Nothobranchius furzeri: one gene and its partner. The protein of the gene in region 2 binds, or shares a complex with, the protein of the main gene of each other region. Links are inferred from orthologs where the notes say so. Each region holds a gene or a part of one and is shown on either strand. Other genes may lie near its edges.

Region 1 (3,653 bases), on a different chromosome or scaffold from region 2:
CATCAGTTTAAGTGAATGTATTTATGCTTTCCACAGAAGCTAACAAATAAACAAGTGTTTTACAGGCTAACATTTTATGTAATTTTTAAAGAAATAAATGTAATATAATGATAAAAGTATTGAGACAAATATATGCAACGAGGACAGAGTAAAACCAACATGCTGCACAGACATTAAATTAAACGCTGCAGCCACTAGGGGGCAGTGTGGACCTATGGCTAAAAAAATGGGGTTTTCTGTCACATTGTCCTTGATTTGACTCAGCAGGAGAAAAACACTGTTTGCTTCAGCGGCGGAGCTAGAGCATGCCATCAGTATTCACATGTTAACACCGTTGCAAACCCAGGATTTACTTACTGGGTTTACAGGAAGCAGTGGTCATTGTCTGGTTGCTCCTGCTGTAGCTGTCTGGGTTGCCGTCTCCCCAGCCTCCAGAGCTCCCGCTCGGTTTGCCCCAGGCAGACGTGCCATTATCCATGCTGCCTGGAGAGGGTGCAGGGTCGCCCCAAGAGCTTTCTGATTTAGTGTGGGAGCTGGGTAGCTCGCCCCAACCTGGAGGGCACGCAAGGACAGCAGTGTGAAAAACAAAAACGTCCCACGAGATCAGGACGAGTGTCTAGGAAACACGATAGGTTAACGGTATCCATGGTCTCTTTCCCCCCATATTTGGTTTTTCTAACCAGGTATAGCAAACTTAATGATAGAGGTCGACCGATCTATTGCCGATACTGATATGTAGGAGACACGGTAAGCTGATGGCAGATATGTACTGCCGATTTTCATGGCCGATATCCTTCTTATTTTCATGCTAAAATCTCACTAATAACAAAGTTTCTGAAGCTGGATCCGTTTTTTGAACTCTAAATTCAACCAATCGTTAAATCTTAACTTTTTGCACCGCTCAGTGTTAAAATCAGACAAATAGAATTAATTTAAAGTATTTATTGTGCAGATGTTTTTGTGAATTGAATTCTGTAACAGAACCGGGTTGCTCGAGGATGCGCCTGAATTTAAATCGGCTTTATTTAGGACTAATATTGGCCGATACCAATTTATATAAAAAATATAAATAATACGGTAAATATCGGCGGACCGATACATCACCCTACCCCTACCTAAGGGCTTTCAAGATTTTTAGAATTATGTCAAAATATTTATAGTAAAGGCCTTTTGGCTCATCCTGTTAAGATTAGTAATGTTCTATAATAATCACGTGTTGCAGCCGCTCTGATAAACTCTCCTCACATTTTAAAATGATCTTACTGCAGAATGCTAAATTACGTGACAAAACTGCATCATTACTATTATTTTTAACAGCAGCAGTAATAATATTATTCAGAAATTTTAAACAAAAACCAGAAAAAGAAGCATTTAGCAAATTACTTATGATGTTGCAAAACGATCTAAAATAACTAATTTCAATCCAGCTTGATTGGGAACTTTAGCAGTGAGGACAGCAAATTGGTTTTATTAAGTCAGTCCAGCTGATGCAGAAGTTTTAACCTTTTTATGAGACGTTCTCACACCAAGCGTCATAACTAATTATTGTGTGTATGATTTAAATACCATTCATTCACCTTGGCTTGATTTTTTTATTTCAAACTTATTTATAGGAGCTGAAGGTTAAATGCGACGAGGTTGAGAGTGAAGCACCAGCCATGCAGGGAGGTAGAAAAGTGGGCTTGGCTGAGCCAGACTGTCGGTAGAGGGAGGAGGTCCCCGTTTAAGCTCTGGCACATGCAAGTCTATTTTGGCATGAGAAGCACGGTGCTGCCGTTACGCCTGCAGCAATGCCAGACTCAGCTTAGCTCTCCCACCGGGGAAAGGTCAAGTCCAAAAGGCTGATCCAAAATTAAAGTTACAGTCAACCTTCTGGTATGGGAGACCAGAAACCTACAACCATCTCAAGAAACCTTAGCAGGACAAGCAGATGCTATTTTCACATTAGTAAGAAATTCTTCATTTTTTTTTCACTAAAACATCTAATGAGGTTTCATCCAAGTCCATCACAGGCAGCAACTGCAGAGTCTAATGAAGAACAGCAGGGGGCATCTGCTCTCTTTGGCTGTCTGGGAACATGCTCCACCTTCTCCCCTAAACTACTGACAGATGGTGGCTCCCATATAATCACACACTTCCGATCTGTCTCAAACTGTTTTGTGGCAAATCAGTATTTTCACGAGGCACGCAGTAAACAGCATTTTTGTGCTTCTTTTGGGTACCCGTGTCAGGTTGCCAGGGTTACCCCCTCACACGGTTGTATTCAGTGTTGTGAAACGTGTGAGAGCCTCTTGAAAGAAAAGAGCTGGCACTGCGTCGCTGATCTAGAGAGTTGATTAGACGTAAATCTCAAGAGAGCAACTAGGTCAAGATTTTAACTTAAGTAGATCAACAGCTTGGAGCTTAACAGTGCGCTGTACTAACTACCTAACCAGCTTCCACGTTTGGCACCTTCACTTTGGACAATAAAGAAGAAACAAGCAACAAGAACTTAAGTAACAATCTAAGTCACCTTTAAAGTTTGAATGACAGTGAAATGTACCTTTAAAACTGTGAACTCTGATTAATACTCAAGCACTGTACAATGTGATCATTAAATGATCCTACCTTGAGCTATAAGGGGACTTCTGATGTGAGATTGCCCAGACTGATGTTGCACTGGAGGATCCCTAGGCCCAGTGGCAGGGCATGGGTTTGGAGTGTTTTGGCTATGGTTCGGTAAAAGTGCAGGCAGCCCGTGATAAGGGTGATTGTGAGTGTGGGGGTGGTTGTTGCTGGAACCTGGAGGGCTATTGCCCCCAGTGGTAATTTTCGCCTGGGACATCCCTGAATTGTTTCTATCCCACAGATTAACGGCCTTATTGTAGGCACCAGGGTCACCCCAAGCAGAGGTCCCATCATCTATCTCCATTTTACGTCGGATTGAAGGTGGAGAAGGCTCTTCCCAGCCTGTGGGCTCATTTGGGGGTTCCTGCTTGCTGCCACTCGAGCCTCCACTCTGCTTCACTGAGCCGGAACCACCCCACGAGCCCACGGCTCCTCCTCCACAATTACTACTGGGTCCATCTTGAGGCTTGTTCATCCAACCTTGGGGGGGACCACAAGGACGTTGGGGTGCGGACTCACCCCAGCCCCCATTTCCTCCAGCTCCAGATATCCCTGGTCCTGAAGCAGACATTCCCCAGTCTTGTTTATTTTCCTTCCAGTTTCCAGATTCTCCTTCCCAATCAGGGTTTGCAGAACTCTTTTTGGTCTCTTCTGGTTCCTCCCAGTCTCCTGTGTTATTGATTCCACCATTATTGCCCCAGGTGTGGGATGATTTGGGTTGGTCTCCCCAGCCCTGGGATGCTGGCTTGCCTTGAGAAGCTTCCCAACCAGCAGATTTTTCCTCTCCCCAGGACTGATTACCATTCTTGGGTATGTTGTTGGTTGGAACGCCTGATGGAGGGTTTCCCCATCCATCAGGTCCAACAGGGTGTTTAATATTGTTGGTTGGCTCTCCCCAACCTGAACTGGGCATGTGTGTAGCAGCCATGCTCCCACCCCAACCAGAAGCTCCCTGAGAACCAGGCACATCATTTTTACTCCCATTGTCAGTCCTCGAAGCAGGCCCGGTATTAGTGTTTATGGGTCCCTGCACTTCACTTGAAGTG
Region 2 (3,653 bases):
CCGCTTACGACGCATCAAGTACTGATCGCTGCAGCGGAAAAACAACCTTTAGTCTCTGTGACGACAGGAGGACAACACATACATAAAGCAGGTCCACACCTGAGAGACGGGCTGCTGCGGCTGTTCTTCAGACCCAGGTTGTTGTTGCCACGGAGACCAGCCTGGCTCTTCACAGCCTCGTCCCACATCCCCATGCTCCCAGAAGAGCTTCCGCTCCCAGCCTTCCCCTCCAGACCGGGACTGCCCCACATGCCCATACCCTCGGCCAACTGCCCGCTCATGGAGGAGCTCCCCATGGACATGCTGGAGTGCTGGAAGAGGAGAGACAGGTTGTTTACAGTTACCTACAACATCCCATCATGCACTGGGGTCAGGACTCACTCTCTGCTGCTGGGCTCTCTGCTGCTGCATCTCCAGCAGAGTCAGAGCCTGGGACTTTGCTGCCTTTGATAGCCCGGATGAAGAAGCGCTGCTCCAGCTGGAGCCGCCGCCCCCCTGGCCCTGCTGCTGGGGGGTCTGCTGCAGCAGCTTCATGATCAGCTCCTGCTGCTGACGACACTGCACACACAACACCATCACGCTGGGCTTTCCTCCCATCACAAAAACTAGACGCTCCAGATTCCTTCAATCGCCCCACCTGTTTGCGTCTGAAGAGCTCCTCCTCCTCCCTCCTCTTCTGCTCCTCCTGCTGCCTCCTCTTCTCCTCCCTTCGTTTGCGCTCCTCCTCTTCCCGCTTCGCCCTGAGTTCAGCGTCTCTCCTCTCCTGCTGGAGCTGATGAGAGCAGGTCAGCGGCGTGAGTCAAACAGCAGCAGAGAGCAAAGTAACATCAGGACTAAACTGACCTTCTGAAGCTGTTCAAGAGTTGGACCCTGAGTAGAAGGATTCATTGTTAAGTCCCAAAGACTGGCTTCACCGCCTGCATGGAGACAATGAGATGGTTAGGTTCTGCTGAGGAGTTTGATTGGTCATGCTGAGAGGAACCGACCTGACGGCTGTGAAGCTGAGGTATGCATGTCCCACATGGACCCTGTATCTGGCACTGACATCGACCTGTTCATCGAAGGCATTATACCCTGCTCACTGCACCTGGGACACAGAGGGAACGACCATTACAGTCACAGGTTCATCACGAGGTCAAAATGATGACAAAATAGGTACAGCGGGCATTTATTAATCAGCTTTAGCCCAAAATACTCCAGGAACGCTCCAGTGTGGCCCGCCAAAATAACCAAGAACCTCAGATCTTTTATTATGACTCGATACATTTAATACCTTCAGAATAAACCTTGATCACCTGTAAGTTTAGGCTTCAAACCACCTTTTTTTGTAGCAAATGTCATATAAATGTTTGATGTGTGACCACTGGGTACCACTTTACAACAATGCACACCTTGTAAATGGCTAATAACTCATTCATAGATGTACTAATTAATCAGTAACACTGTATAAAACCATAAGTTCTTATTATGCATTAAATAAGGGAAAGAAGAAAACAGATTTGGTTCATTTTGCAAGAAACCAATGAGATTTGGGCCTTTCTGTCCTTTAATTAATATATATTAAACACTTAGTGATAATTAAACTGTTATAGAATCATTAAAAATCTCTAAACTATAAGGGACCTTTGAACTATTACAGATCAGTTTACCTAAACTTCTTGTATAATAAACATTTTTATGCTTCATCAAAACATTTACATTTCTAACCCTGCATCAGTTCAAGTGTGATTAAAAAGGCAACAGAATTAAAATAAACGTTACACTCTTCAATAGCCAGTTGTGCTATTTTTTTTAGTTTAGAAAATATTGAGATCATATTTTCAAAAGACTGAAGTTACCAATTCACACCAGAGGGTGGCAGAGTTGAGCTTTTTACTGTTTAATAAATGTGAGAGTTTAATAAAGCAGACAACAGCTGCTGAAGCTGAGACGCACCGGTGTGCTAGCAATCTGTGCCACGGAGCATGTGGGCTGTAATTTGTTGATGGATTACACAGGTGTGTGTGTGTGTGTGTGTGTGTGTGTACCTATTGATGAGCTGGAATAGCTGCTGCTGTTGGAGCTGCTGATAAAGAGCTGCTGCTGCCAGCTCTTGCTGCTGCTTCTTCAGACGCTCCTGGTCCAGGTTTCCCTGGAAACGGGACACAAGACATCCTCAGTTTGGTAAAACCCAACCTGCAGCAATTTGGTTTGATGTAGCTTTTGTCATCAAATTATAACAAACTTAATGACGTCATGGAGGTCACATGACTGAACGACAGCTGACACAAAAGTGGTTGTGATGCGTTTCAGAGACATTTATAAGTAAAACCAACAGAAGACATGAATGTAGATTAGAAGTAAATATCTCATTACAGCCTGTCTCCTCATGCCCCCTCTGATGTCCACCTCCCCATCTTGCGGCTCTGCAGAAGTCTGACTCACAGTCCCGGCGGGCCCCCGGTTGGGCTGCGGGCGCTGCGTCGGTGGGTGTTGTCTCACCAGCAGGGGGGGTGGGGAGGGGCCCGGGGCGAAGGGCACGCGGCCCCACATCTTGATGACGTCTCCCAGGGGCTGAAAGCCCTCGTCGCAGCCCCGCTTCACCAGCAGGGTCATGGTGAAATAACCAGCCTGGAACCACTCACACATCTCCACTGTGGTGAATGGACCTGCAGACCCAGAACACAGACAACCATCAGCACTTCTGACCCAACCATCACCCTAACCCCACTCAGGAATCAGGCGTACCCTGGATCTCCCCCTGAGGGTCTTTGTAGAACCACTTCATGGCCGCCTCGTGGGTGAGTGGCAGAGCAGCGGCTGTGTTCCTGCTCTCCTGTTGCTGCAGAGCCTGGGTGAAACACTCCTCCTCCAAGGAGGTGTCCTGCAGCGACGCCACCATCTTCTCTGCCTCCTACATAAGCACACATTACACCAGTATTCAGCAGCTTCACTTCTCATCCGAGGAGCTTGGTCAGTTCTGACTGGAATATGGAAGGGTCAAGCGTATAAACTGTAGCTGTCTATTGTTGTTTAACGAGCAGATACTACCTATGAACACCCCACCCCCTGAGCAGTTGTTGAAGTCATTATGTCCCATTGTGTTACAATGCTGTTTTGATTAGATGCAGAAGGGTGTGACCTAGACTAAAACCATTTAGAGCTGCGTCGTAGGTGCTACATCCCAGAACGGCTTCTGGTATTGTTTTCATGTTTTTCTTTTAAGTTTATTTTCTAACTTGTATTCTAAGTTTTTACCAGAGCAAAAGAGCTTTTCATAGCATTCTGTTTACTGGATCTTTAAAAAAAATCTACCAGCCTCTGGATCTTTGTCCAGAAATGTCCGCTTACACCGACCTCCGATCGCTGTGAAAGGAGGGAGGGAGTTGGTGCGCATAAAATGCTCAGACAGTTATTACATTAATGTGGTGGGACCTGAATTATTTGTGGGGAAAAATCTGTAAAAGAGGAAAAAAAAAACAAACGCTTCAGAAAGCTAAGGAGATTTATTCCTGGACACGCAGTGAGTGAGCTGTCCTATTTCAAGCCATTTTGTTATTTAATCAGCGATCTATAAGACCTATAGAAAGTTACATATTGTGCAAAAAAATGTTGCACAAGTGTTCTACAACATAAAGAGATTTGCTGATCCGAAACAAAATCCGATTTGTGAC

Evidence for each region. The genes of interacting proteins can lie anywhere in the genome.
Region 1: the proteins of gigyf1a (region 2) and tnrc6c1 are in contact, whole or in part, in a crystal structure (PDB 7RUQ), measured with the Homo sapiens proteins. The link is inferred for Nothobranchius furzeri from reciprocal best matches to the Homo sapiens genes GIGYF1 and TNRC6C. Residues at the interface, in NP_001362694.1 of Homo sapiens: Tyr479, Asp481, Pro482, Gln487, Phe490, Trp498, Tyr503, Phe504, Leu508; in NP_001136112.2 of Homo sapiens: Arg1719, Pro1720, Pro1721, Pro1722, Gly1723, Leu1724, Thr1725.

What each region holds. Positions count from the first base shown.
Region 1 is NC_091752.1:53,970,936-53,974,588, forward strand, and holds part of tnrc6c1 (trinucleotide repeat-containing gene 6C protein), read right to left. Parts: coding exon 2,608-3,653; intron 553-2,607; coding exon 358-552; intron 1-357. UniProt on the Homo sapiens protein: Plays a role in RNA-mediated gene silencing by micro-RNAs (miRNAs). Required for miRNA-dependent translational repression of complementary mRNAs by argonaute family proteins.
Region 2 is NC_091742.1:83,832,188-83,835,840, forward strand, and holds part of gigyf1a (GRB10-interacting GYF protein 1), read right to left. Parts: intron 2,894-3,653; coding exon 2,728-2,893; intron 2,649-2,727; coding exon 2,356-2,648; intron 2,132-2,355; coding exon 2,028-2,131; intron 1,088-2,027; coding exon 987-1,087; intron 918-986; coding exon 844-917; intron 773-843; coding exon 638-772; intron 559-637; coding exon 382-558; intron 312-381; coding exon 100-311; intron 29-99; coding exon 1-28. UniProt on the Homo sapiens protein: May act cooperatively with GRB10 to regulate tyrosine kinase receptor signaling. May increase IGF1 receptor phosphorylation under IGF1 stimulation as well as phosphorylation of IRS1 and SHC1.